Stegostoma tigrinum: one gene and its partners. The protein of the gene in region 3 interacts with the protein of the main gene of each other region in a biochemical or structural test. Links are inferred from orthologs where the notes say so. Each region holds a gene or a part of one and is shown on either strand. Other genes may lie near its edges. The genes, in order: uba1, anapc11, ube2kb and rlim.

Region 1 (7,494 bases), on a different chromosome or scaffold from region 3:
ATCTGGAATTAAAGGTCTAATGATGACCTTAAATCCATTGCTAATGGTTGGAGAAAATCCCATCTAGCTCACTAATCTCCTTCAGGGAAGGAAACTTCCATCTTTACCTAGTCTGGCGTACATGTGACTCCAGACCCACAGCAATGTGGTTGACTCATAACTGCCCTCTGGGCTATTAGGGATGGGCAATAAATGCTGCCTAGCCAGCGATGCCCTCATCCTGTGAATGAATAATATAAGTTTTACATATCCCAGGTTACCTTACCTTTAAACTGAAAGCAAAATCTTGCAAATGCTTAAAATCTACAATTAAAAGTGAAAGTACACAGCAAGTCCCCTCGAGGTTTTGTACAGAGAGAAACACAGCTAATGTTTCAGGCCATGACTTTTTAAATCAGACCTGGGAAGTTTTGAGAAATAACAGGTTTTAAGTAAGTACAGAAACTGTGGAAGATGGTAGTGAGGAAAGCACAAGAGGAAAGGGGTGTGATGGGATGCTAGAAGGATGTAACAAAAGGGATAAAGGTATGAGGCAAAATAAGATGGTGACACTCAAGCCAGAAGGAATATGAGGAAGTTAAATCAGAATCAGAGCTACGACCTTGCTGTCCAAAGCAATGGGGACAGTGATCGTGATCGGACATTATTTTACTCCACCCCCTGTTCATAAGGCTGTAAAACACCCAAGCTAGAATATGAGGCCTCTGGAGCTTCTGTTGAGCTTCATTGGAACAGTTCAGGAGGCCAGGGAAAGAGTGGCCAAAGTTGGAGGGAGAGCTGAGAACTAAAATGACAGGGTATTGGAAGCGAGGGTCATGCTTTCAGACTGAATGGAGGTGTTTAGGATGGCAACCCTCCAGTCCATGTTCAGTTGTTGTATAAAGAGAAAAGTGCATGAGGATTAGCAAATGCATCATACTCTAATTCTGGCTCTGGTGATTTGTGCATTCTATCCTCCCATCAGCACCCCAGTCAAATGCTGGAAGGCAACTGAACTATACTGGTTCTGTGTAGGACGATCAATGAGAAGTTTTAAGAGCATTGGATAGATCTGTTGAGTTGGGACTTAAGGAAGGCTTAGAGAATGTGGGGTTTTAGAGAAGTCTGCAAGATATTAATGATTAAGTTCCATTGAGAGTTGGTATTGGAAAACCTGAAAGCAGCATTAGCATGACGCAATCAAACAAGACTAGAGCTCATGATAATACACAAGTGTAGTACTAGCTTGATAAAGTCAGTTGGTGGTGAAAAGCTGGATCTATGCCTGCAAGTAAATGCTGTGCCGGAGTGCAGTTTGCACAATCTAGAGAAGCACAGACCCTTCAAAGGAAGGTGAATATAAAAACATAGCAGTCAACAGAAGTGTCTGTGACATAACGGGTCTTAAGGGACTTTCCAGACCAGATTGTGAAAAGTGAAGAATTGAAATCACTTGTGATATTTTTAAAATTAAATTTGATGATCCATTGTGTCATTAAGCTTTTGGAGGGAGGGATAGCTGAGAAATCCATGGGATATGTCTTTATTGCTTCTGAAATTTGACATGCTCTGTAGGGCAATCAATCACAATTTGTTACCCACATTTGGCTCCCGTTAATTCTGGATGTTAGAATATAATTTATATGTGCGTATATGTACATTGCATTGTATAGTAAAGATTATCATTATCTGTTTAAAACCATGGAATCTTATGACATTATTCTCTGGGAAATACCTGGGATGTGAAACTATGTCAACTTTAAAAAAGTCACTAGTCCCTCACAGATCATAATATAAATTTGGTGGTGTGGTCTGGCATCATAAAAGGTAACATGAGCTTTTGGGTGTCCTGAGATGGGGGAGAGTGCTAGATGAATGGAAATCTTCTAAGGTGTCCCAGCCAGCTGCTTTGCCGAAATAAGGGAAATTTAAAATTTTTAAAATGTTGCAAGGATCAGGAACATACTGTATGAGGGTATAAAGGAGAATTCGACCATAGTTTTCAAGAGGGAATTGAATAATAATGCTGAGAAGGTATTTTCAGCGCAATAAGGAAAGCGACCCCCTGCGTAGCTTCGACAGACAGCTATCAGGGATGCTAGGGGCTGAATGGCCTTGCTTTGATCAGCAATCAATCTTCGACTCAAATGCATCCAATCAGAGTTGACAATCATATTGTGAAGAGCATTGGTGGCGGTCGGATAGCAAATCTGTATTTCTGGCACTACATACAACACCTCAACACAATTAATATTTGAAGGTCTAACAGAGGAACATACAGGGTTCAGATGCGAGTTGGCAGCAACTTCATTAAAACTCACGGGGAATTAACAAAAAAAATCCCCTTTACACTTTATTTCGCTTTCCTTCTTTGACACGATGGGTCGAATGGTCTCTTTCGGTATTGCAACAATTCTGCGGGCATACATCACAAAGTCAACAAATTCAAGTGTAACTTCCCGTCCACGTTGTCAGAATGATCAATCAAAATGGGAAAAGGGAGTGGGGGGAAGCAAAACAATTTGTCAATTTCATTCATTTGTTAAACTGAAGAAATTTGCAGACGGTCCAGTTATCTCATTTCCAATAAATCCACGGAAGCTCAACAACCAAATTTCAACAGGCAGTTTCTCTTTGTAAAATAAAGTCACTCACTCCTACAACAACAGATTGCCTTTCGCCTCAGTGCAATAGGAAGAAGCTTTCATTCGTAAAGGCAAAATTCTGGTTCCAAATTTGAAAACTCAAAAATATATCTTTGGTCAGCTGGTAGATTGTAAAGTCAGTTTCAGTGGAGCAATGATAACCTGAGCTTACCATCCTCAGTAATTGCCTGGGGCACTGTTCTACAGCATTTTACTATAACACGGATTTTGATGGCTATACCAACATATCGCGAACGCTAACGCACCTTAGTTTACTCTCTTGTCCCTGAGGAAGGTGCTTCTGTCCGGCAGCGATACAAATTGCTCCGATCAACTGAATGACACTGCCTGCGCTTGATCTGGGAGAGCGAGCAACAGAAAGGAAACAAAAAGCTTCCTGCCAAATTCTGATCTCTTTAAAAGGGCAACACATTTCAACTCCTGACAGCGTCCTCGTTCAGACCGGACGAGGCTGGGGCGTATAACGGCAGGACCCGGAACCGACCGGTTAGAAACAGACTGTTCCCAACAATTGATGAGGGGTCTAGACTGAAGGGGTCCATGCATTAGAGGCTTATAAAGTCATGAGGGGCATGGATGGGGCGAAAAGCCAAGGTCTTTTTCACAGGGCAGGGCAGTCCAAAACCTGAGGACATAGGTTTAAGGTGAGAGGGGAACGGTTTAAAAGGGACCGAAGGGCTAACTTTTCCAAGCAGAGAGTGGTCCATGTATGAAATGAGCTGCCAGAGGAAGTGATGGAGGCTAGTACAGTTACAGCATTTAAAAGGCTTTTGGAAAGTTTTAAAAGGGGAACGATAGTAGGAACTGCAGATGCTGGAGAATCGGAGATAGCAAGGTGTAGAGCTGGATGAACACAGCAGGTCAAGCAGTATCTTAGGAGCAGGAAGGCTGATGTTTTGGGCCTAGACCCTTCATCACAAAAGGTTTAAAAGGACATGGGCCATTTGCTGGCAAATGGGACTAGGTTAATTTATGTTAACTGGTCAGCATGGTTGAGTTGGACCAAAAGGCCTGTTTCTGTGCGGTACATCTCTATGCCTTTATATACAAAATGAAAAGCCCTCTGTAAAACAATCGGCAGGTGAGACTTCTTTACACACGTTATTGGGAAATTGTAGATTTTACTTCAGGGACAGTGATTCAGGTAGAAATGAAAGCCTGAGCTTTCATCTGTTTGAATCGGAGGCAATGGGACATAATGTGAGTTTTTTTGGGGGTGGTGTTGTATTCAATTCAGTATGGCTGGTTAGCAGTCAGGTTAAAATCAGGCCACATGCTAAAATTCCAGGTGACATTGAATAGGTGAATGAAGGGTGAGGAACAAGGTGGCTGAGGTCCAGACTACAAAATAAATAAGAGACAATTTTGAATCATAGAATCCCTACAGTGTGGAAGTAAGCCCTTCAGCCCAACAAGCCTACACTGACCTTCAGAGAATCCCACCCAGACCTATCCCCCTATAATCCACTTAACCTACACATCCCTGAACATTACGGGCAATTTAGCCTGGCCAATCCACCTAGCCTGCACATCCTTGGACTGTGGGAGGAAACAGGAGCACCCAGAGGAAACCCACACAGACACGGGGAGAACATGTAAAACTCCACACAGACAGTCACCTGAGGGTGGAATCAAACCCAGGTCCCTGGCACTGTGAGGGAGCAGTGCTAACCACTGAGCCACCGTGCAACTTTCTGGGGATAAATATGGATGCAGACTGACAAAACTGAATGGCCTGTCCCCATGTTCTTATTTCCCTGAGATTGGAAGATGTCATGATTTAGAAGAGGAGGGGTAACCAAAATCCACTGAAGGGAACAAGCTAGGCTCATATTCCAATTCATGAATTGTTGCATTATTGTCCTTGAGGTGACACACTTAAACTGAGGCCATGTCTATAAATCATGGTTCATGAAATCGAGGAGTCCTCATCGTGATCTGACAATTATCCTGTGTTCAAGTAACATCATCCAGGTACCTGCTTGTTTATATCATTTCCACTTGTCAGCCTTGGAAGGTGGAAAATGGCTTTCACATTTGCCAGACATGGCAATAACATATGTAAGAATGTTTGTGAAATGTGAGAAACTACTGTGTTCAAATCCAACCATAGCAGATGGGGGCATTTGAAAGCAATAAAGCTTGCGAAGCTGAAGTCTAATGATGACCATTATTGATTGTTGGAAAACCCCACCTTCTGGTTCACGAATGTCCTTTAGGGTTGGAAACAGCCATCCTCACCTGGTCTGGCCCACATGTGACTCCAAACCCACAGCGATGTGGTTGACTCTTAACTGCCCTCTGGATAATTAGGGACAACCAATAAATGCTGTTTTAGCCAGCAGTATACCCAGACTAAGAATGAAAAATAAAATTCACTTTAATAACCAGTAAGCTAGAGATTTGAAAGAAACTCTGACTTATGAGGTTAAGAATGTAAGAAATTACAGCAGGAATGGGCTACATAGTCCTTTCAACGGCCCCAACCATTCAATGAGCTGAGTTGATATTTTATATTAAATTCACTTCTTTCTCTTATGTCCACAAGATCTTCTTGTTGTGCCGTGGTAGTGTCTCTACCTCTGAGCCAAAAGGCCTGGGCTTGAGTCGCCCCTGCTCTGGAAGTGTATATTAATGCATCTGAACAATTAAAAATGCTGGCCTGTTTGCAGCACAGACATTTTAACTAGTATTTTTGAACTGTGCAGCATGTTGAGCTGCCGCTGTTTACATAGTAACAGCTATTGCAGTTTTATTCATGTTCTAGATCAGTGTAAGAAACACGATATCAGGTTATAATCCAACTTGGCGTGTTATTTCTGACCTTGTCCACCCCAGTCCATCACCGGCACCTCCACATCATGGCACTGTACATAAAAGAGACAGGGCATTCAATGATTTGCAACACAAGTTGTTTTCTGAAGAAGTGACACTGGATTCCGAATGTTAACTCTGCTTTCTCTGCACAGAGGCTATGCAGAACACCTCCACTCGGTTCACACTAAATAACTGCACCTCCCAGTTGCGAACCATTTCAACTCCCCCTCCCATTCCGCAGATGACATGTCCATCATGGGCCTCCTGCAGTGCCACAACGTTGCTACTCGAAGGTTGCAGGAACGGCAACTCATATCCCACTGGGAACCCTGCAGCCCAATGGTATCAATGTGGACTTCACAAGCTTCAAAATCCCCCCTCCCCCCACCGCATCCCAAAACCAGCCCAACTCATCCCCGCCTCCCTAACTTGTCCTTCCTCTCACCTATCCCCTCCTCCCACCTCAAGCCCCACCCCCATTTTCTACCTACTAACCTCATCCCGCCCCCTTGACCTGTCTGTCCTCCCTGGACTGACCTATCTCCTCCCTACCTCCCCACCTACACTCACCTTTACTGGCTCCATCACTGCCTCTTTGACCTGTCTGTCTCCTCTCCACCTATCTTCTCCTTTATCCATTTTCTATCCGCCTCCCCCTCTCTCCCTACTTACTTCAGAATCCCCTTCCCCTCCCCCATATCTGATGAAGGGTCTACGCCAGAAACGTCAGCCTTCCTGCTCCTCTCATGCTGCTTGGCCTGCTGTGTTCATCCAGCTCTACACTTTGTTATCTCAGAATGCCCGACCTGCTGAGTTTCTCCAGCAATTTCTGTCTTTTGCTTCAGACTTCCAGAATCTGCCTTTCTCGTTAGTGTTGTTGTCATTGCCACTTTAAGGGGCGGAGCTTATTGTCAGAGACTAAGGTCCAAATTTATTTGAAAACTCCCAGACTGAGAGGAAACAGAAAGTGAAAGTGAAGAGATAATGGGAACTGCAGATGCTGGAGATTCCAAGATAATAAAATGTGAGGCTGGATGAACACAGCAGGCCAAGCAGCATCTCAGGAGCACAAAGTGAAATTGAAATTTTAGACTCCGAATGAATTCACATTTGCTGGTGTGGAAAGCTTATTTGAAGCATATAGCAGAGGGTTTGGGTCAAACGGGAATGCTTTCACCCTGTGTTTATTTTAAAATAACTGATAGAAAAAAGTCGAGCCCAGCTGCTATTATCCTTGAAATGCAGTTTCCTGACATTTCACACTCAACTTTCTGCCGCGTGCGCCCTGCCAATGTCCACACAGCAGAGATGTGCAGATTGACTGCCACTGATCTCTCTCTCTCTCCCTGTCGATGACTCGGTGTCTTCTCTCAATGACTCCCTTCCCACAACAGCAGCTCCGCTCAAGGGTTAATATCCCGATATCCCTATACATAGATGGCACCAAGATTGATGGTGCAGCAGAACAGTGAAGAAGATTATGGAAGATAACAAAGAAGCCATGATCAATTAGCCAATGGGCTGAAGAGTGGCAGATGGAGTTTAATTTGGTTAAATGTGAGGTATTGCATTTTGGTAAATAAAACAAAAGCAAAAATTATACAATTAAAAGTGGGACCTTGGGTAGCGTTGTAGAACAGAGAGACCTCAGGGTTCTTTGAAGTTTGCATCCCATATAGACAGCGTTGTTAAGAAGGAGTTTGGCACACTTGTCTTCATTGCTTAGACCTTTGAGAGTAGGAGTTGGCACATTATGTTGAGGTTGTACAGGACATTGTTGAGACCTCTTCTGGAATACTGTGACCAGTTCCAGTTGCCCTGTTATAGGAAGGATATTGTTAAGCTGGAGAGAGTTCAGAAGAGATTTACCCGGATGTTGCTGGGGAGGGAGGGTTTGAGTTATGGAGACAGGCTGGATATGCTGGGATTTTTTTCACTGAAGTGTAAGCGGTTGAGGGGTAACCTTTTAATTAGAAGTTTATAAAATCATGAGGGATGTGGATAAGGTGAATGACAAGTGTCTTTTCCCTAG
Region 2 (7,693 bases), on a different chromosome or scaffold from region 3:
AAATGATTGAACACATTAATCAGTTACCACGTAAATGCATTTTTAAAACAAGTATTCAAGTGTCAAGCAAAAGCAGGACTCCCAGTATACTGTAGCACCTCAAGTCCAAATTTCTTTGCTGAGTTGAAACAAATGTCCACAGCAAGCCTATACAATATTTTGCAAATTAATTTCTGTTAAGTGAACATAGACCAAGGTATGTGTATAAATTTTATGTACAGAATTTTATTAGGTTCCTTTAAATTAACATGTTCATTCACAATCAGCTAATAGTTTGCTAACTCACATTAAATGTAGTTTAGTTCCCACACCAGTGCTTAGATTTATAGTGGTACTCAGACTTAAATTTTCGACCTTGCTTTCAACTCACTCCATAACTTGCACTCTACCAGCCCTATAAAATAATTGCGTTGCTTTAATTATGGCCTCAAGCAGCCCCAATTTTAATTACGCCACCCTTGTCTTTAGCTGTCCAGGTCCCAAGGTCTGAAATGCCCTCCAGAAACATCAGTCTCTCTCCCTCTCTAGGATGCCCCTTAAAATCTATCTTTTTGACCAAGGTTTTTTGCCATCTGATCTAATAGCTCTTCGTGACTCAATGTTACATCTTTTTTCATAGTCTCTGAAGAGCCTCAAAACTTCCTCTTGTTGCTGTAGTTGTATCAATTGCAACCCATGGGATGTGGATACACCTAGATATCTTTAGAAAGTGTGTTCCAACAGTGAAGGAAAACACCATCACAATTTCATGTCAGCATAAGGGTATCCCTATGTTCTTGCTGTTCTGGTTCTTCAGAGAAATGGAGTTTGCAAAGATTATGGTGCAGCAGCTAATACACTCAGTAAAAGGAATACAGTTTGATGCACAGTACCACTTCAATATGCATGAGAAATGATTAAAGGGCAAGTCAGTCTAATGAAACTTACTTCTTTTACATTTTGTAAACGGCCATTTCTAAGCCAGATTACAGTTCCATCCCATTTGAAATAATTATTATAGCGGAAAGAAGAAATTATTGACCAGAAAGCACCTTCAGAGTGGTTCCTACTTCATGTAGCAACAGAATGAACTTTAAGAGGAAAAGAACAAATGTGAAATACAGCACAGGAACAGGCCATTCACTCCTCCAAGGCTGTGCCAATCATCATGCCCTGACTAAACCAAAAAACAAACCTTCTGCCCTTATTTGGTCCATATCTCTCTATTCCCCCCCCATTCATGTAGCCATCCAGATGCCTCTTAAATGTTGCCAATGTGCCTGCTTCCACCATCTCCTCTGACTGCATTTCACACTCCTACCACTCTCTGCATGAAAAAAAAACTTTCCTCACATATCTCCCTTAAACTCCTGCTCTCTCACCTTGAACCCGTGCCCCCTAGTAATTGAAAGTTCAACTCAGGAAAAAGCCTTTTTGACTATCCACCCTATCTATGCCTCTTGTAATTTTATAGACCTCTTGTCTTCTCAGCTGCAGTCTTTCCAGTGAAAACAATCCTAGTCTTTTTGACCTTTCCTCATAGCCAATGCGCTCCAGACTGGGCAACATCCTGGTGAACCTCCTCTGCAATTTCTCCAAAGCTTCCACATCCTTTTGTAAATGTGGCAACCAAAACAGCACACAATACTCCAAATGCGGCCTAACAAAGGTTTTATATAGCTGCAACATGTTGTGCCAACTCTTGTACTCTATGCCTCAGCTGAGGAACGCAAGCATGCCATATGCCTTCTTTGTCAGAGATGGCAACACCATCTGCCATTTCTGCGCCCAAGTTGCCAATCTATCTATATCCTGTTGTACGTTTAACAACTATCAACAATTGCACTAATCTTTGTGTCATCTGCAAATTTATTAATCAAACCACACACATTTTCCTCCAGCTCGTTTATATATACACAACAAACAACAGAGGACCTAAGACTGATCCCTGTGGAACACGAGTTACTGGTCTCCATTCTGAAAAACACCCTTCCACCATTACCCTCTGTCTTCTATGATCAAGCCAGTTTTATTTCCATCTAGCAGCCCACCCTGAATCCCATATAATTTTAGTTTTTGTACCAATCTGCCATGAGGGACTTTATTAAATGCCTTACCAAAGTCCATATAAACTACATTCACAGCTTTTTGTTCAATTATCTGTGTCATCCCTTCAAAAAATTCGGTCAGGTTGGTGAGATATAACCTTCCGTGTACAAAACCATGCTGTTTGTTGCTAACTAGTCCATTTTCTTCCAAGTGTGCATGCATCCTGTCCCTCTACCTTCTCCAAGAGCTTTCCCACCAGAAACGTCACTCACCGGCTTAATGTTGGAAATGAATTTAGGTTAGCTTGTGTTTAACTATATCCACATCATTTAAACTTTATCTTCCCAAAAATGTAAATAGGATTTGAGGGATGGGGTTTGGGGCATTGGAGGATCTGGGGGGTTTGGGGCATTGGAGGATCTGGGGGGTCGGGGCATCTCCAGTCACCCATTTTGGAGGCTTGGTCCACCCTCTACCCCATACTCTCCCACTCCTACCCATGTCTCCCGTATTCTTTCTCCCTTTCTCTTTCCCTCCGGTCCCCATTCTCTCTCTCTTCCGTACTTTCCCTCCCTCTTTTCCTTTCCCATCCCCTTACTCACAGTCCGGGCAGCAGCCGTTAAACGCCGTGCGGCAAATACCACAATTCTCGTCGTTAGCCACCCAGAACCAGGTAGCGATGGCGTTCCAGCGCTTCACCTTGACCCGCATGACGGGCGGTTCGACAGCCCGGGGCAAGGGAGAAATCTCCGGATCCTGTTCGCAATCACACTCCATTCATCATGTCTGGGCAGGCCTCCGCAACAAAGCGCTGAACTGAACACATTCTTTCGAAACACATTTCTTCTTCCCGCCACAGGGGCCAAAACAAAATACTAAAACGGGCGTCAACAGTACAACATTGAAGTTTCAGAGATCGGATATTTTTTTCCTCCAACATCGATGATGTTTCTGCGTTTGATTCCCCGCGTCGGGACCTCCGTTTCAGGCGCTCTGATTGGCCGTTCACTTTGGCGCCTCTGATTGGCGGGTTCCACAGAAGGGAGGGAGGCTTGTTTCTCCTGTATATTGGGAGAAGAGCTGATCCATTGAGAAAGAGCTCTGGGAGGAATTAGGTCCACAGAGTCATAAAGATCTATTAGCACAGAAAAAAAGGCCCTCTGGTCTTTCACGTCTACACCGGTCAAAAACAACCACCTTAAGTAATCTAATCCCATTTTCCAGCACTTGCCTTGTATGCCAACTATACATCTAAACATCATCAGAGGAGCAGGAAAGCTGACCTTTCAGGCGTAGACCCTTCATTAGAATTGGGGAAGGGGGTTCTGAAATAAATAGGGACAAGGGGGAGGCTGATAGAAGATGGATAGAGAAGATAGGTGCAGAGGAAACAGACAAGTTAAAGAAGCGGGGATGGAGCCAGTAGAGGTGAGTGTAGGTGGGGAGGTAGGGAGGGGATGGGTCAATCCGGGGAGGATGGACAGGTCAAGGGGGTGGAATGAGGGGATAGGTGAGAGGAAGAACAGGTTAGGGAGGCGGGGATAAGCTGGGCTGGTTTTGGCTCCATCCCCGCCTCTTTGACTTGTCTGCCTTCTCTCCACCTATCCATCTTCGATCTGCCTCCCCTTCTCTATTTATTTCAGAACCCCCCTTCCCCTCCCCCATTTCTGATGAAGGGTGTAGGGCTGAAACGTAAGCTTTCCTGCTGCTAAAATGCTGCTTGGCCTGCTGTGTTCATCCAGCTCCACACTTTGTCATGATAATAAAATGTGAGGCTGGATGAACACAGCAGGCCAAGCAGCATCTCAGGAGCACAAAAGCTGACGTTTCGGGCCTAGACCCTTCATCAGAGAGGGGGATGGGGGGAGGGAACTGGAATAAATAGGGAGAGAGGGGGAGGCGGACCGAAGATGGAGAGTAAAGAAGATAGGTGGAGAGGGTGTGGGTGGGGAGGTAGGGAGGGGATAGGTCAGTCCAGGGAAGACGGACAGGTCAAGGAGGTGGGATGAGGTTAGTAGGTAGCTGGGGGTGCGGCTTGGGGTGGGAGGAAGGGATGGGTGAGAGGAAGAACCGGTTAGGGAGGCAGAGACAGGTTGGACTGGTTTTGGGATGCAGTGGGTGGGGGGGAAGAGCTGGGCTGGTTGTGTGGTGCAGTGGGGGGAGGGGATGAACTGGGCTGGTTTAGGGATGCAGTGGGGGAAGGGGAGATTTTGAAACTGGTGAAGTCCACATTGATACCATATGGCTGCAGGGTTCCCAGGCGGAATATGAGTTGCTGTTCCTGCAACCTTCGGGTGGCATCATTGTGGCAGTGCAGGAGGCCCATGATGGACATGTCATCAAGAGAATGGGAGGGGGAGTGGAAATGGTTTGCGACTGGGAGGTGCAGTTGTTTGTTACGAACTGAGCGGAGGTGTTCTGCAAAGCGGTCCCCAAGCCTCTGCTTGGTTTCCCCAATGTAGAGGAAGCCGCACCGGGTACAGTGGATGCAGTATACCACATTGGCAGATGTGCAGGTGAACCTCTGCTTAATGTGGAATGTCATCTTGGGGCCTGGGATGGGGGTGAGGGAGGAGGTGTGGGGACAAGTGTAGCATTACCTGCGGTTGCAGGGGAAGGTGCCGGGTATGGTGGGGTTGGAGGGCAGTGTGGAGCGAACAAGGGAGTCACGGAGAGAGTGGTCTCTCCGGAAAGCAGACAGGGGAGGGGATGGAAAAATGTCTTGGGTGGTGGGGTCGGATTGTAGCTTTTGTGCTCCTGAGATGCTGCTTGGCCTGCTGTGTTCATCCAGCCTCACATTTTATTATCTTGGAATCTCCAGCATCTGCAGTTCCCATTATCTCTCCACACTTTGTCATCTTGGATTCTCTAGCATCTGCAGTTCCTATTATCTCTGTACATCTGAATACTTCCTTAATGTTATGAGGGTTTCTGCCTCTTCCACCTTTACATGCCATGAATTCTAGATTCTGAGTGAAAAAGTTTTTCCTTACATCTTCTCAAAACCTTCTGTCCATTGTCTTAAATCTATGCTGTCAGTCATTGATCCCTCCAGCAAGAAGGTTTCTTTCTGTCTGCCCTATCTATATTTTTATTCATCACATGCACGTGCCCTTTCCATTTCCTCTGTTTTAAGGAAAGCAGCCCTGGTGTGTCCAATCTCTCATAACTGAAAATTTCCAGCCCAGGCAGCATCATGGTAAATCTCCCCCGCACCATCTCTAGTGCTGACATTTCCCATCTATAACGGACATAAAGGGGTCAGTTTCTGAAGTTATTGAATTCAATATTGAGACCTCGAGGCCTAAGCAAAGGAAAATGAAGCGTCGTTCATCGAGATTGCCTTGCGCTTTGATAGAACATTGTAGCAGGCCCAGGACAGAAATGGTTGCATAAGAGTTATGTGGCTTATTGAAATATTGAGCAACTGCGAGGTCAGTGTGATTCCTACAGACAGAATGGGGGTGTTGAGTTTCTCTATCATTTTTGGTATTTGTTTCAAATTTCCAGCATCCACAGTATTTTGTCTTTTTTCAAGCTACAGATTAATGGGTTAAAAACCAACTTGGGAACGAAATCTCCATTCCCCAAAGGGGGAGTAAAAAGGTATGTGCGTGAAGATATATTTTATGAAAATAACTTCTCTGCTCTTGCTTCATTCTCTTGAAACTTTTTTTACTTCTTTTTATCCAATTTCCATTGGAAGGCTGTGACTGAACTTACATTCACCATCCTTTCAGGCTGCTCTTGTTGAACAATGGCAGTGTACCAACCTCTGGGCTAGGATGTCTTATTTCAAGGCCCACCTGGTCCAAAAGTGTGCAACAACATGTCAGAACAAGATGATTGAAAATAATTTGTTGTGACACAGTTTTAGCATTCCTACCCCCAGGGCCAGAACATCCAGTTCAAGTCCCACCTGCCATATTGTCATAACATCTGAACAGGTTTGTTTTAAATAAAAGGTGTTGTGGCATCTATCTCAATGACTGGCATGGATCAGAATTGGCATTCTGCAGTGACCAGACAAACTTGCAGTGCTGCAACTGTGGTCCAATTTGTAATATATGAAGTTCCAGCATCACTTCCCAGCTCTTATAATCAAGGCAAGTATCTTGTATGCTTTCTCGACAATCTTTGCAACTCTTCATGAATCTTAACTTCACATTGAACAGTTAAGTACAAAAAAGCAAAGTTTCAACTTTTAAAAGAATTGCTGATTCTAGAAATCTGAAATAAAATCAGAAAATGCAGCCATCGCTCATTACGTTTGGCAACATCTGATCTGAAATATTAATTCTTTTTCTCTTTTCATAGATGCTTTGCTGCCAGATTTGCTGAGCGGTTCTAGTATTATTGTTTGAGTTTTAACTCTCCAATGTGATCTGTGTAGGTATGTAGCACATAACTGCCCAGATGATTGGAAACTTGACCCGAAATATGGAATGTCAAATTCCTATGGCCGTATCAGCCCTACAGACAACATGGTGGTGCTGGCTTGAATGTTTCACTCAATGGCCTATAAGTAGTATGTAAAAGCCATGGATATTTTCTCATGTACTTTTCATCATTTTACAAAAACAAGATCTGTGCTAACATTAATTAGCTGTAAAGTGGAGCATATGTGGTCATTGCTGTCGTACTTTGCTTTTTGCAATGACAGTGTGCAGCAACAATTTCTATATGAGTGAAGAAGGAGGGAAAATGAATAGGTCAGGTGAATGCACAGTTTGAAAGGGAAGCAGAAGTTTTACGTCCATAAGTTGAACCCAGAGTTGAAGATATACATTTTTGTTTTGCTTTATTTGGATGCAACAATTCACAATTGAGATTGAAAGCACTTTAACTCTTTCATTGCAAAAAGACATTGGACAAAACTGAGTTTCAATTGTGGCACCTGGGACACCAGAATAATACCTGCTAGTTACGTACCTACTCTATAATCAGTATCATTGTCTAATCCTGGTATCATCAAATTGATCAATTAAATCTATATAAAGAAAAAAATACTTAATATTTATATAATACTGCATTTTTCCTTTCAAGAACGCATCAAAGTATCACATACAATTAATTAGTCTGAAATGTTCTCATTGCCAATTTACAGGTGAATACAAGTGGTCTAGTTGGACTGAAGGGTCTATTTCCATGTTGTTTGGTCTATAACAGCCTTTTCACACAATGCATGGTGCCACAAGAAACAGTAAAATACAATGAATAGTCAATCTGGTTTAAATAATATTGGTTGAGAGAGTAATATCACCCAGGAGACCCCTTTCTAAATGCCATACCCTCCCCTCTTTTATTCATCTTCACTTGACCTTGGAAATCCACCTCATTCCTCCACCTGCTCCTTAGAGTGTCCCATTCATTCCTGCCCTAAAAGAACAGGACTTACCTCATTCTAGATACTAGTGTTTTGTTACATGGATATGCTTGCAATCGTGGCAGTGCACAGTGCTAAATTTTGGCATTTCTGGGCTGACTAGTGCCTCTAGCCAATCAGAACATTCCAATGTCAACAATGGCACTTCCTGTCCTCTCAGAGGCAGAAGCTGCCCTGCAACCTGTTTACGCCATTCCAAGACTGTTGTTGGTACACAGCAGCATTTTTTAGAAACTAGTTCATTTGGAAAGCGACTGGAATATCTGATGCAGAATGGGT
Region 3 (7,034 bases):
ACATTTGTGTTACAAATGCTAGACAATTATTATTTCCAAACAGAATCTAGCCATTTCTTATTGGGGTTTTATGGCATTGCCATTTCTAAACTCCTGCCATCAACATTCTGGCAGGGACCAACAATCAGACACCGATTATAAAAACAGATCAGAATTCTACAAGTGACTGAAAATTTGACTGCCCAAAGCTTTTCCACCAACAAGGAATTAGTGAGGAGGGTGATGGAAAGCTCTGCTTTGTCCTGGACAAATGCAAATCCAAAACAGTTAAAAAGCAGCTCAACACAATCTAGGACAAAGCAACCCCCTTACTTTATATCCATTTTCCCACTACTGACGCACAGTGATGATGTAGCATTACACTTAGAATGTGTATGCCAACCACCACCACAAGACCTTCAACTTCCATTCATGCAACCTCTACTACCTAGGAGGATAAGGGTCGCAGATGCGTTGAACACCACCAGCAAGATCCTCCCTGCCACACACTACTTTGACTTAGAATGGCAATATGTGTCTATTGTTGCTGGGTCAAGATCCTGGAACTGCTTCTGTCATCATGGGTGAACCTACACCATATGAACTGTAGCAGCTCAAGAGCCAATTGGTGTTGATAGAAAGTTGTTTATGTAAATGAAGTCCAGTGTACAGTAGCATCCCATGAGGATCAGCACTGGGACCCTATTGTTTTTGATATTCAAAAATGGGGTTGATAGGGTAGGTTTGAAGATGGCACAAAGATTATCTAGGTGTTTGACTGTGAGGAGGAAGGTGTTAGGTGACAGAAGGATATGGATTGGTCAGATGGACAGATCGGTGACAGATGGAATTTAACAGTAACAAACATGAGGTGATGTACTTTGGAAGAAGGAACAAGGAACAAGTACCCAATGAATGGCAGGACACAATAAAGCTCAGAATAAGAGAGAGAATTTTTGGCGCGCTTGTCCTCAGATCCCTGATGGACAGATTAACAGGACAGTTAAAAGGCACATGGGACACTTGCGTCCACCAGTCATGACAATGATTATAAGAACAGGGATATCATGTTAAAGCTTTACAGAAGCTTGGTTAAGCCACACCTGGAATACTGCATGCAGTTCTAGTCACCACACTATAGAAAGGATGTAATAACACTGGAGGGGCTGCAGAGAAGATTCACCAGGATGTTGCCAGGGATGAAGCACTGCAGCTATGCAGAGAAGTTGGATAACCTGGTGTTGTTTTCTTCTGAGCACAGAAATTGAGATGAAACCTAGTGGAGGTGTGTAAAATTATGAAGGGCATGGACATGGCGACGAAAAATCAGCTGTTCCTGCTAATCAAAGAATCAATAACAAAAGGGGCATAATTTTAAAAGTAAAATACAAGTTTAGAGGGAATTTGAGGAAAACCTTTTTCATCTAGACAGATGGTGAGAGTCTGGAATACACTGCATGGTGGGTTTGGTGAGGTAGGAAACTTCACAAGCTTTAAAAAAGTACTTAGATGGCACTTCAAGAGCTCATAACCTTCAAGGCTATAGACCTAGCATGGGAAAATAGGACTAGTGTATATAGTAGTGTATTTTCAGCAGGGCAGATTAGATGGCACAAAGGGCCTCTTCAGTATTGAATGATTCGTGGATTCTCAGGCAGCACCCTACCATCTTTAAGGGCAATTTGGACCAGGCAATTTGGCCTTACCAGCGACACACTCATGCCGGAGGCCCAATCAGATCATAAGGAAGATACTGAAAACAAATCAAATAAAATCCTAGTGAACAACATAACTGTCACATGTTTTATTTGTAAACATATAACTGATCAAACATCTGCAGTTATCAATAATATGCAATTACACCCTTGAAGAAATAGTTCAAAACACTTAATACAACTGAGTTGTATTTTAATGTAATTTTAATGTAAGCAATCCCATATCTACTACCTACATTAAAAGGTATTTGCAAAAACTTTTCAAAGTAGGTAGGGACTGAGCACATTGCTCAAAAGTAGAATTCTTTCAGAAAACTATGTAAGGTTCTACAGTTAGCATTAGTACTCCAAGATGATAAAACTGACCAACACCTGATAAAAAAAATTGTAATCTTCGGAAAGAAATTGTCAGTTGGAGCCTAACCATATGCAGATAACTAATTTTTGACCAACTTAATACGTCTAAAGCAGATTTAAATTCATAACTATGATAAACTTTATATAGTCGTTTAGCTTAACGTAATCACGGATCTAAATTCCTGCGTTCCCTTTTGTTTAAAAGAAAACTGATGTGGTGAAGTAAATGCATATCTGAAATGAAAAACATGTTAACACAGCAAAATAACCAAATGTCAATTGTGGAAACCAGATATCACCTAACGAGACGATGTCATCCGATACCAATACGGTTTCTAAACAAAGAAAAGCATTAGACTAAACCTTAGCAATAACATGAAATAAACCGTTCATCTCAATTCCTTCCACCACGAACTCAGCCGTATACAAAATTAATGTGGAGGTGGATGTCTCGCATGGTGGTGGAAAAATGTCACACGCCTACAAGCTTAGCAACAACCTGAGTGCTCAAGGTACCACCCGGACCTCCCAAAAATCCGGCATTTGAAGAGCTTCACATCAACCACGCCATTGCTATGACATTGATAAACGGCAGATTTGCAGCAGCTTTTAAAAAAGTGACTTATAGTAAGCCCCGCAAAGGCTCCCTGGACTTTCCCGAAACCGCCTCTGGCGCCTGTCCATCACCCGGTCCCGTGTCCATCACCATGAAACTCCCCGCACTCTCCTCTCCCGTCCGCAGCCAGTCAACCAAGAAGGTATGAACAGATTAGCGTAGGTGAGGTTGGGAGCAACTCTTACCTCTTCGCTCTTCAAGACCTCCTTAAACTCTCGTTTAATTCGCTGCACTGCGATATTGGCCATTTCGCGACGCGCTGCTCGGCCTCGGCTCAGCCTTCCTTACAACATCAGACTATCAGCACGGCCAAAATGGCGGCGCTTCCGCGCAGGCGCACTCCAACAGCTCCGTCGGGCGAATGGGGTCGGCGAGAAGCGCGAGCGGCTGGCGGTGACGGGCTCGCGGCTCAGTCGCTGACTGGCGAACGTTGGAGCGATATGGGCCCGCTCGGCTGTAATCTTCATTCAGTACACTTAGGCCTTCCGTGCTACTGATCCGTGTACACCTGGACAGGGTCAAACCTCATCCCTTACCCGCGTCAAATGACATCCCCTGCAAGGTCTACCTGTCATAATACTCACCCACTGATTTCCCCGACTTGTTGGTGTGTTATTGCGGCTCACTAAGGAGGATATGTTACGTATGTTTAGGGGGTGGGGGCTGGGGTAATGCATTGCTTAACGTCCATCTTTGCATCCACCCAAACCCCAAGCCTCACTCTTATTTCAAGGGCGTTTGTGAACAGAAAGTAGTTTGTTTATGATTCTCTGCTCGAAAGTAATGTTCTTTAATGTTCCCCACATTCTGGATTGTAAACTCAGTTTAATTGGCTGTTGAATTCTCCAGGTGTGGAGTTCAGAAATGAAGAAGGGTCTCGGCCCGAAACGTCAGCCTTCCTGCTCCTGAGATGCTGCTTGGCCTGCTATGTTCATCCAGCTCTACGCCTTGTTATCCTGGCAGGGAGGTGTGCTAGTTCTATTAAGGAAGACTGCGAACTATTAAAGAGGTAGCATTGTAAATAGATACATAAGGATGGTTATGAATCTGAAAAGAGCAAGCTAATTAGAAGAGACAGGCAAGAACAAGTCAGACAAAGAAGGAGCTCTGAAGTATTAAACTGCATTTATTTCAATACAAGGCTGATGAGCTTGGCATGTTTGGGTACATGGGGTTGAGACATCATTGCTATTGCAGAAAATTGATTGAGGGAAGGACAGGACTGGCAGCTCAATGTTGTAGGTAGGATAGAGTGGGGTGTGGGGTGTTTTTGATTGAGGAAAGCATTAGTGCTGTATCGAGAGAAAATATTTCCAAAAATTCATCCAGTGAAAGTATATGGATTGAAATTAGGAATAAGAAAGGAATGATCACCGTGATGTGTTTATATTTTGGGCCACTCAATAGCCAGAAGGAAATTGAGGAAAAAGTATGTAGAGAGATCTCAGAATAAAAAGGTTGTAATAAGAGGGGATTTTAACTTTCCAAGCATTGATTGGGACTACCATAGTATTAAAGGTTTGGATGGTGAAGAATTTGTTAAATGTGTTCAATAAAATTTTCTTTATCAATATGTAAATGTTCCTACTAGAGAAGGAACAAAACTTGACTCCTTGGGTAATAAAATGTGAGGCTGGATGAACACAGCAGGCCAAGCAGCATCTCAGGAGCAGCTGCTTGGCCTGCTGTGTTCATCCAGCCTCACATTTTATTATCTTGGAATTCTCCAGCATCTGCAGTTTCCATTATCTTTGACTCCTTGGGTAATTAGGCAGGGCAAGTGTCTGAGATGATTCTGGGGGAACACTTGAGTCTAGTGATCATAATTGTATTAGTTTTAAAATGTTTATGGCAAGGGATAATCCTTCCATAAAAGTTAAAGTTTTTTGAGGTTGGTTGGCTTGCTGAGCTGATTTCTTGTTTCGCAGTCTTTCGTTACCATGCTGGGTAACATCCTCAGTGCAGCCTCAGATGAAGCATCGGTGTTTAAACTCTGGGGTCCATTGAGATGGATTGCCTCACTTCCGGTTTTCCTTCATAGTGAAATGTATATGGGGTTGAGTTCAATATGTTTATTAATTGCTTGCTTTCTGGAGTGCCAGGCTTCTAGGAATTCTTGTGCCTGTCTCTGCCTAGCTTGTCCCAGGATTTTGGTATTGTCCCAGTTGAAATGGTGGCTCTCCTTCCTGGACCTCTCTGTCTCCATCTCAGGCAACCAGCCAGAAACTGATGTCTGCTTCAAGCCCACCGACTCCCACAGCTACCTAGAATACACCTCCTCCCACCCAGCCCCCTGCAAAAATTCCATCCCCTATTCCCAATTCCTTCGCCTCTGCCGGATCTGCTCCCAGGATTCCACTCCCGCATATCCCAGATGTCCGCGTTCTTCGAGGACCTCAACCTACACCCCCCGCAGTGGTTGAAACCGCTCTTGACCGTGTCTCCCGCATTTCCTGCAACACATCCCTCACGCCCCGCCCCCACAATAACGGCCCTAAGAGAAACCCCTCGTCCTCACGTACCACCCCACCAACCTCCGGATGCAATGCATCATCCTCCGACACTTCCGCCATCTACAATCCGACCCCACCACCCAAGACATTTTTCCATCCCCACCCTTGTCTGCCTTCCAGAGAGACCACTGTCTCCATGACTCCCTTGTCCGCTCCGTACTCCCCTCCAACCCCACCACACCCGGCACCTTCCCCTGCAATCACAGGAAGTGCTACACTTGCCTCCACACCTCTTCCCTCACCCCCATCCCAGGCCTCAAGATGATTTTCCACATTAAGCAGATGTTCACCTGCACATCTGCCAATGTAGTCTACTGTACCCAGTGTGGCCTCCTCTACATTGGGGAAACCAAGCGGATGCTTGGGGACCGCTTTGAAGAACACCTCCACTCGGTTCGCAATAAACAACTGCACCTCCCAGTCGCAAACCATTTTAACTCCCCCTCCCATTCCTCAGACGACATGTCCATCATGGGCCTCCTGCAATGCCACAATGATGCCACCCGAAGGTTGCAGGAACAGCAACTCATATTCTGCTTGGGAACCCTGCAGCCCAATGGTATCAATGTGGACTTCACCAGCTTCAAAATCTCCCCCTCCCCCACTGCATCCCAAAACCAGCCCAGCTCGTCCCCGCCTCCCTAACCTGTTCTTCCTCTCACCTATCCCCTCCTCCCACCTCAAGCCGCACCTCCATTTCCCACCTACCAACTTCATCGCGCCCCCTTGACCTGTCCGTCCTCCCCAGACTGACCTATCCCCTCCCCACCTATACACTCCTCTCCACCTATCTTCTCCTCTATCCATCTTTGGTCCGCCTCCCCCTCTCTCCCTATTTATTTCAGAACCCTCTCCCCATTCCCCTCTCTGATGAAGGGTCTAGGCCCGAAACATCAGGTTTTGTGTTCCTGAGATGCTGCTTGGCCTGCTGTGTTCATCCAGCTTCACACTTTGTTATCTTGGATTCTCCTGCATCTGCAGTTCCCATTATCTCTGCTCTCCTTGTCCATGTAGATTGAGATGAGTGAGTACTGGTCACATCATTTTGTAGCCAGTTGGTGTTCATGTACTCTTGTTGTTAGTTTCCTTCCTGTTTTTCCGATGTTCTGTTTCTCAAAGTCACTGCAGAGGATCTTGTAGATGTCGTTGGTCCTGTCCATGGCGGGAGTGGGTCTTTAGTTCAGGTGAGCAGTTGTCGAAAGGTTGACATGGGCTTGTGTGCCACTGTGATGACCAGCGGTCATAAGAGTCTTGTGGTGAGTTCTGACGTATTCCTGATGTAGGGTAGTGTGATGAGTGTGTCAGGGTGTGTAGTATCTTTCTGATGTTGTTCATGTAGGCATCTTCTGACCCAGTTTTTTGGATATCCATTATCCTTGAAAACCTGGAAGAGGTATTCTTCTTCCTCTTGGCAAAGTTCCGTGTTGCTGCAGTGTGTTGTTGCCCTGTGTTCAATAGTCAACACACGGGAAGGACAGGCCCTGGAAGGATTAAAGAAGGACAAGAACATGACAATACTACCCACAGACAAAGGGCACATGACAGTGATACTGAAAAAAAGGGACTACATCTCCAAGGCACATGCACTGCTCACCAATGAGAATACATACTGGCCGGTACAAACTGACCCAACACTGCAACTAGGCAACAAAATCCTCTACACACTAAAAAGACTTAAACAAACACGACAGATCAACATAGCAGACTGCTCAAGAATGAAACCCAAAGGAACCAACACACCCCAATTCTACGGCCTCCCTAAAGTGCACAAGCCAGAAGTACCCCTCAGACCCATAGTCTCCCTACCAGGCACTCCATGACATAGATTAGCCAAGGAACTACAAAGGAGATTCA
Region 4 (7,584 bases), on a different chromosome or scaffold from region 3:
AGAAAACAAGATTGTTAAATTTGTAAAGATAATTATTGAGAACAATAAAAATCACTGGTCACGTTTTGATCAAGTACAAGGAAATCAATATACCTCACACCCAGATGGAATTAAAAACTATAAATTTACATCTATTCTAAATAAAGAATTCTTAGTACTGTACATTCATCACCCAATGCGCAAGTCTGCCATCACTGTTAATGATGTAACTTATAAATGTTAATAATCACTGAACTGTGATGGAAGAAATGGCAACTGAAAAATCGACAAAAATCTTTATTATCCCTGTAACAAAGAGTATGTGTAAGAGGGAGATACAGTTTGATTTTTTAAAATCAAAGTTGAGATAAATTCAAAGGCAACCAGTCAGAAAGTTTGAATTACTCCACAGCACATGCCCAAATTCCACGTTTCTTGCATATAGCAATCTTAGCTCTCTGTTTAGTGTACCCTCAAGCTTGAGGGAAAAAAAGTCAACAAAACAGAACAATTTGTTCACATGAAGTTTTCATTTTACAAACATCAGACATATTCTCACTTAATTATATTGCAAAGTAAACCACACCAAAAGCAATGAATAAAATGTGAGGCTGGATGAACACAGCAGGCCAAGCAGCATCTCAGGAGCACAAAAGCTGACGTTTCGGGCCTAGACCCTTCATCAGAGAGGGGGATGGGGTGAGGGTTCTGGAATTAATAGGGAGAGAGGGGGAGGCGGACCAAAGATGGAGAGAAAAGAAGATAGGTGGAGAGGAGAGTACAGGTGGGGAGGTAGGGAGGGGATAGGTCAGTCCAGGGAAGACGGACAGGTCAAGGAGGTGGGATGAGGTTAGTAGGTAGGAGATGGAGGTGCGGCTTGGGGTGGGAGGAAGGGATGGGTGAGAGGAAGAACAGGTTAGGGAGGCAGAGACAGGTTGGACTGGTTTTGGGATGCAGTGGGTGGAGGGGAAGAGCTGGGCTGGTCGTGTGGTGCAGTGGGGGGAAGGGGACGAACTGGGCTGGTTTTGGGATGCGGTGGGGGAAGGGGAGATTTTGAAGCTGGTGAAGTCCACATTGATACCATTGAGCTGCAGGGTTCCCAAGCCGAATATGAGTTGCTGTTCCTGCAACCTTCGGGGGGCATCATTGTGGCACTGCAGGAGGCCCATGATGGACATGTCATCTAAAGAATGGGAGGGGGAGTGGAAATGGTTTGCCACTGGGAGGTGCAGTTGTTTATTGCGAACCGAGCGGAGGTGTTCTGCAAAGTGGTCCCCAAGCGGAGGCTTGGGGACCGCTTTGCAGAACACCTCCGCTCGGTTCGCAATAAACAACTGCACCTCCCAGTGGCAAACCATTTCCACTCCCCCTCCCATTCTTTAGATGACATGTCCATCATGGGCCTCCTGCAGTGCCACAATGATGCCCCCCGAAGGTTGCAGGAACAGCAACTCATATTCGGCTTGGGAACCCTGCAGCTCAATGGTATCAATGTGGACTTCACCAGCTTCAAAATCTCCCCTTCCCCCACCGCATCCCAAAACCAGCCCAGTTCGTCCCCTTCCCCCCACTGCACCACACGACCAGCCCAGCTCTTCCCCTCCACCCACTGCATCCCAAAACCAGTCCAACCTGTCTCTGCCTCCCTAACCTGTTCTTCCTCTCACCCATCCCTTCCTCCCACCCCAAGCCGCACCTCCATCTCCTACCTACTAACCTCATCCCACCTCCTTGACCTGTCCGTCTTCCCTGGACTGACCTATCCCCTCCCTACCTCCCCACCTGTACTCTCCTCTCCACCTATCTTCTTTTCTCTCCATCTTTGGTCCGCCTCCCCCTCTCTCCCTATTAATTCCAGAACCCTCACCCCATCCCCCTCTCTGATGAAGGGTCTAGGCCCGAAACGTCAGCTTTTGTGCTCCTGAGCCTGCTGTGTTCATCCAGCCTCACATTTTATTATCTCGGATTCTCCAGCATCTGCAGTTCCCATTATCACAAAAGCAATGAATGCCTGTTTTACGCTATCGTCACCATTAATATCCCACTTAAGTCCAAACATACACCAACCTGAGAAAGAAGGAAGCTTCAAGACTTCGCTCAAAAGCATCATTTTTTTGTTTCAAAGCACCAGTGTATTTCTATCTTCTGCTATATTGCACTATTGACCTACATAAAGCCAGTTACGCAATCACAAAGATCGTAATGCGCCAGACTTCTATTGTAGATCAATCGGTGATTATTACCAAGGCGACAGTGAGGGGGCAAAAGGAGAACACAAAAATAAATTCGCACTAAGACAGGAAACTGAACCTGTTGACGAACCGTATTAGCATTAAAAAAACACTCATCCTTCCCTCCAGCATTCCCTCCCATAGCTCCAAGGGTAGGCAGTGACACAGGAGAAAATAGTAAATTAGCTCCGAATAATTTCATCAAGACAAACAAAAAAGACAAAGTGGCCCAACCAAAAAGAAAACAAACCGGGAGCAATCAGGCTTTAAAAATATGGAAACACCTGGTGATTTTATCTGAAGTAATTGCGCTGAGAAGGGGACTGTTTCAAAAGACGCCGACTTTTTTTTAAAAAAAGGAGGGATTGGTTTTGTAAACCGGCGGGAAGAATAAGCAGCCCGGAGTTTAGGGGAAAAAACATGGGAGATGGGGTGGTTAAACCCTCACGGAATCCCCGGCCGTCTTATCCACGCCCCGCCATGGCTGAGATTAGGCCGCAGAGCCTGGGCCTTTCCCCGGCGCCGGTTCCCCATCGGCCTGTTCACAAGCTGCCGTACGCAGCAGGGTGTGCGCGACCGGCGACAGGGAGGACAGAGAAGGGCGAGAAGAAATCAATAGGCGCCGCCAACCGCGATCTGCCAGCACCGGCCGTGAGAGCCCTCCGGCCCCGGGCGCCCTCACCTGCTCACGTCGAGTTCGATCCGTTCGGGTCGGGCCGCTCACACCGTTACCACCATTGTTAGAGTGGGAGAGACAAGCGGAAACAGGAAACCAGCGCAGTGTCCCGCCGCTTCTGTCATCCCCCCGGCAGGTGGGAACCGCTACCCAAAACCATCCCACCAGCCCGCACAACGGCTCAACTCCTGGAGAAAGATTCCGGGCACGACATCATCGCCTCTGCAAGAAAGCATGAATCAAAGCAGTTTTTTTTTACTTTAAAAGAACTGCAGTTCATATCCCTATGCATTCGATTATATTTACTGTCATATTAAAGCAGATGTTTAAATATACACAAAATAAGTACCAGGAATTTCTCAGCAACAATAAGGTGGTTGACTCTTAACTGCCCCCTGGGCATTTAGGGATAGACAATAAATGTTGGACCAGCCGGTGATGTGCTCATCTTGTGAATTAATAATAATAATAAATAAAGGCCAGACAGCAGATGTGGAGAGAATGTGATGAAATCCTCTCTTTTGTACAAATATTTTCTATTCTACTTGGTCAGAGACATACTTCTGGAGCAGGTGGGGTGTAAACCCAGGTCTGCTGGCATAAGAGCCCTGTTATTCCCAGTGTACCCCAGCAGGTTGTGAACATCGAGGGAATAGACAGGTCCAAGCACTTTCTTCATTTGAGTTCCCCTATTTAAAATTCAGTCCTGCCAAGGAACAAGATCAGGCTTGTTGCAATGAGTCGCTCAGAATATTTCATAGATTTCAAGAATTCAAGAGTTATATGTGGTTGGAGAGTGAGTAAGGGAGCCAAAAGCAGGCTCCATGAGAAATCTAATGTTGAGAACACTGCTCTTTCTGTATTGTGAAGCTCAGAGAAAAGTCTAGCAGAACATTGGATAATTCTGAGCAGCACAATGTTAGAGTCAGTGCTCTGGAATGTCTGGAAACTGAGGACCTCAGAATAAAGTTGCAGTCAATTAATACCTCACTGTAGCTGAAGATGGTGGTTGAAAATCCCAGAAATAGTATTTGCTTTGCACAGCTGAGCAAACTTAAAAGTCAAAAAATTTCAGTCAAAATGCTAACTTGGTGAAGCTATCTGTGAAAAGTTGCAATTGATCCTGACAGCAAGTGCGAGAATGCAGATTCCAAATTTTAATGAGATTTGGTGTTCTTCGGTGTCACTAGCCTTGACTGGGAGGGGGTAAATTGCTGAGAATCTGCACAATCTGATTGTAGCTGTTACGTGATATGCTCAACCACAATTATCTGCAACCCATGTAGACTTGAGTTAGTTTTCAATAATTATGACTTGATTAAGCAAGTGAGGAATTAACTATATATTAGTACCATAAGATATAGGAGCGGTATCAGGCCTTCTGGTCTACTGAGTCTGCTCACCATTCGATCATGTTTATTGAGTCACAGAGCTGTACAGCATGGAAACAGACCCTTCAGTCCAAATCATCCTTGCAAACCAGATATCTTAAATTAATTTGGAGACATTTCCCAGCATTTGGCCTGTATCCCTCTAAATCTTTCCTATTCATTTACCCATCCAGATGCCTTTTAAATGTTGTAATTGGACCAAGCTCTACCACTTCCTCTGGCATCCCATTCCATACATGCACCATCCTCTGTGTGAAAAATTTGCCCCTTAGGTACCTTTTAAATCTTTCCCCTCTCACCTCAAACTTATGCCTCTAGTTTGGACTGCACTACCCCAGGAAAAAGACCTGTCTATCCCCCTTGTCCATGGCCGTCATAATTTTATAAACTTCTATGAGGTTACCTCTCAGCCTCCAATGCTCCAGGGAAAATAGCCCCAGCCTATTCAGTCTCTCCCTATAGCTCAAGCCCTCCAACCCTGGCAACATCCTCATAAATCTTTTCTGAACCCTTTCAAGTTTCACAACATCCTTCCAGTAATAGGGAGGTCAGAAATGCATGCAGGTTTCCAAAAGTGGCCGAACCAATATCCAACCAACCAGAACATGACCTCCCAAGTCCCGTTGCACTGACCAAGAAAGGGAAGCACACTATACACCTCCTTCACTACGCTACCTATCTGTGACTCTACTTCCAAAGAACTATGAACCTGTACTCCAAGGTCTCATTGTAATAAAGTGTGAAGCTAGACAAACACAACAGGCCAGGCAGCATCTCAGGAGCACAAAAGCTGACGTTTCGGGCCTAGGCCCTTCATCAGAGAGGGGGATGGGGTGAAGGTTCTGGAATAAATAGGGAGAGAGGGGGAGGCGGACCGAAGATGGAGAGAAAAGAAGGTAGGTGGAGAGGAGAGTATAGGTGGGGAGGTGGGGAGGTGGGGAGGGGATAGGTCAGTCCAGGGAAGACAGACAGGTCAAGGAGGTGGGATGAGGTTATTAGGTAGGAGATGGAGGTGCGGCTTGGGGTGGGAGGAAGGGATGGGTGAGAGGAAGAACAGGTTAGGGAGGCAGAGACAGGTTGGACTGGTTTTGGGATGCAGTGGGTGGAGGGGAAGAGCTGGGCTGGTTGTGTGGTGCAGTCGGGGGAGGGGACGAACTGGGCTGGTTTTGGACCCAAGATGACTTTCCATATTAAGCAGAGGTTCACCTGCACATCTGCCAATGTGGTATACTGCATCCATTGTACCCGGTGTGTCTTCCTGTACATTGGGGAAACCAAGCGGAGGCTTGGGGACGGCTTTGCAGAACACCTCCACTCGGTTCGCAATAAACAACTGCACCTCCCAGTCGCAAACCATTTCCACTCCCCCTCCCATTCTTTAGATGACATGTCCATCATGAGCCTCCTGCAGTGCCACAATGATGCCACACGAAGGTTGCAGGAACAGCAACTCATATTCGGCTTGGGCACCCTGCAGCCCAATGGTATCAATGTGGACTTCACCAGCTTCAAAATCTCCCCTTCCCCCTCCGCATCCCAAAACCAGCCCAGTTCGTCCCCTCCCCCCCACTGCACCACACGACCAGCCCAGCTCTTCCCCTCCACCCACTGCATCCCAAAACCAGTCCAGCCTGTCTCTGCCTCCCTAACCTGTTCTTCCTCTCACCCATCCTTTCCTCCCACCCCAAGCCGCACCTCCATCTCCTACCTACTAACCTCATCCCATCTCCTTGACCTGTCCGTCTTCCCTGGACTGAACTATCCCCTCCCCACCTCCCCACCTATACTCTCCTCTCCACCTATCCTCTTTTCTCTCCATCCTTGGTCTGCTTCCCCCTCTCTCCCTATTTATTCCAGAACCCTCACCCCATCCCCCTCTCTGATGAAGGGTCTAGGCCCGAAACGTCAGCTTTTGTGCTCCTGAGATGCTGCTTGGCCTGCTGTGTTCATCCAGCTTCACACTTTATTATCTTGGATTCTCCAGCATCTTCAGTTCCCATTATCTCTCTCCAAGGTCTCATTGTTCAGCAACACTCTCAGCAACAATACCATGAAGTATATAAGTGCTGCCTTGACTTGCCTTTCCAAAATGCAATACCTCACATTTATTTAAATTAAACTCTGTCTGCAACACCTCAGCCCACCAGCCCATCTTATCAAGATCCCATTGTACTTTGAGGTAACCTTCCCGGCTGTCCACAACACCACCGAATTTAGTTGTCGTCTGTAAAATTACTAACCATAACCCTATGTTCACATCCAAATCATTTATATAAATGATGAATAAGCAGTGGACCCAATACCGATGTTTGAGGCATACCGCTGGTCAAAGGCCTCTAGTCCAAGAAAAAACCCTCCACCACCACACTCTGTCTCCTATCTTTAAGTAAACTCTGTATCCAATTGGCTAGTTCTATATTCCATGTGAGCTAACCTTGCTAACCAGTCTACCATGTGGAACCTTCTCGAACGCCTTACTGAAGTCCATATGGATCATGTCCACCACTTTGCCTTCATTAATCCTGTTCATTGCATATTCAAAAATATATATTTCTCAACTGCATTCTTTTGCCTTCTCCTCTTAACCATTGACCCCACTACCAATCAAGAACCTATCTACCTCTTTAAATACACTCAATGAATTGGCCTCCACAGCACTCTATAGCAATGAATTCCACAGATTCACCACATTCTGGCTAAAAAAATTTCTCAGTTCTAAAGGGTCGTGGTGAAGCGGTGCCCTCAGGCCCTAGTCTCTCCTACTAGTGGAAAATTCTTCTCCACGTCCACTGTACTCAGGCCTCTTAAGTTTCAATGAGAAACTCCACCCCCTTTCCACATCCTTCTAAACTCCCGTGCAGCACCTTATCAAAAACCTTCTGGAAATCCAAACAGATCGTATCCACTCCTGTTCCTTTGTATAATTTGCTTGTTACCTCCTCAAAGACTTTTAACAAAATTTGTCAGGTGTGACCTCCCCTTCAAGATGCCATGCTGACTCAGCCCTATTTTATCATGCACTTACAAGTACTCTGCAATCTTATCCTTATTAGCAGACTTTAATTTCCGACCAACAACAAAGTTCAGGTAACCAGTCTGTCATCTCTCATCTTCTGCCTCCCTCCTATCTTAAACAGGAGTATTACATTAGCCATTTTCTTGTCCTCTGGGACCTTCCCTGACTCCAGTGATTCCTGAAAGATCACCACCAATGTTTCCACGATTGCTTTAGCTATCTCCGTCAGAACTCTGGTAAACAGTCCATCCGGTGCAGGTGTTTTATGCATCTGCAGCTATTTCAGCTTTC

What was found.
Region 1: of the proteins of ube2kb (region 3) and uba1, one has a biochemical effect on the other in vitro, tested with the Homo sapiens proteins (9 studies listed by BioGRID, with this or other methods). The link is inferred for Stegostoma tigrinum from reciprocal best matches to the Homo sapiens genes UBE2K and UBA1.
Region 2: the proteins of ube2kb (region 3) and anapc11 form a complex in vitro, tested with the Homo sapiens proteins (3 studies listed by BioGRID). The link is inferred for Stegostoma tigrinum from reciprocal best matches to the Homo sapiens genes UBE2K and ANAPC11.
Region 4: the proteins of ube2kb (region 3) and rlim form a complex in vitro, tested with the Homo sapiens proteins (2 studies listed by BioGRID). The link is inferred for Stegostoma tigrinum from reciprocal best matches to the Homo sapiens genes UBE2K and RLIM.

What each region holds. Positions count from the first base shown.
Region 1 is NC_081364.1:12,926,033-12,933,526, forward strand, and holds the start of uba1 (ubiquitin-like modifier-activating enzyme 1), read right to left. Parts: upstream 3,008-7,494; 5' UTR 2,891-3,007; intron 1-2,890. UniProt on the Homo sapiens protein: Catalyzes the first step in ubiquitin conjugation to mark cellular proteins for degradation through the ubiquitin-proteasome system.
Region 2 is NC_081375.1:22,110,724-22,118,416, reverse strand, and holds the start of anapc11 (anaphase-promoting complex subunit 11), read right to left. Parts: upstream 3,017-7,693; 5' UTR 2,806-3,016; coding exon 2,631-2,805; intron 1-2,630. UniProt on the Homo sapiens protein: Together with the cullin protein ANAPC2, constitutes the catalytic component of the anaphase promoting complex/cyclosome (APC/C), a cell cycle-regulated E3 ubiquitin ligase that controls progression through mitosis and the G1 phase of the cell cycle.
Region 3 is NC_081354.1:98,591,658-98,598,691, reverse strand, and holds the start of ube2kb (ubiquitin-conjugating enzyme E2Kb (UBC1 homolog, yeast)), read right to left. Parts: upstream 3,023-7,034; 5' UTR 2,916-3,022; coding exon 2,853-2,915; intron 2,810-2,852; exon of another isoform or gene 2,746-2,809; intron 1-2,745. UniProt on the Homo sapiens protein: Accepts ubiquitin from the E1 complex and catalyzes its covalent attachment to other proteins. In vitro, in the presence or in the absence of BRCA1-BARD1 E3 ubiquitin-protein ligase complex, catalyzes the synthesis of 'Lys-48'-linked polyubiquitin chains.
Region 4 is NC_081368.1:21,549,885-21,557,468, forward strand, and holds the start of rlim (E3 ubiquitin-protein ligase RLIM), read right to left. Parts: upstream 3,014-7,584; 5' UTR 2,893-3,013; intron 1-2,892. UniProt on the Homo sapiens protein: E3 ubiquitin-protein ligase.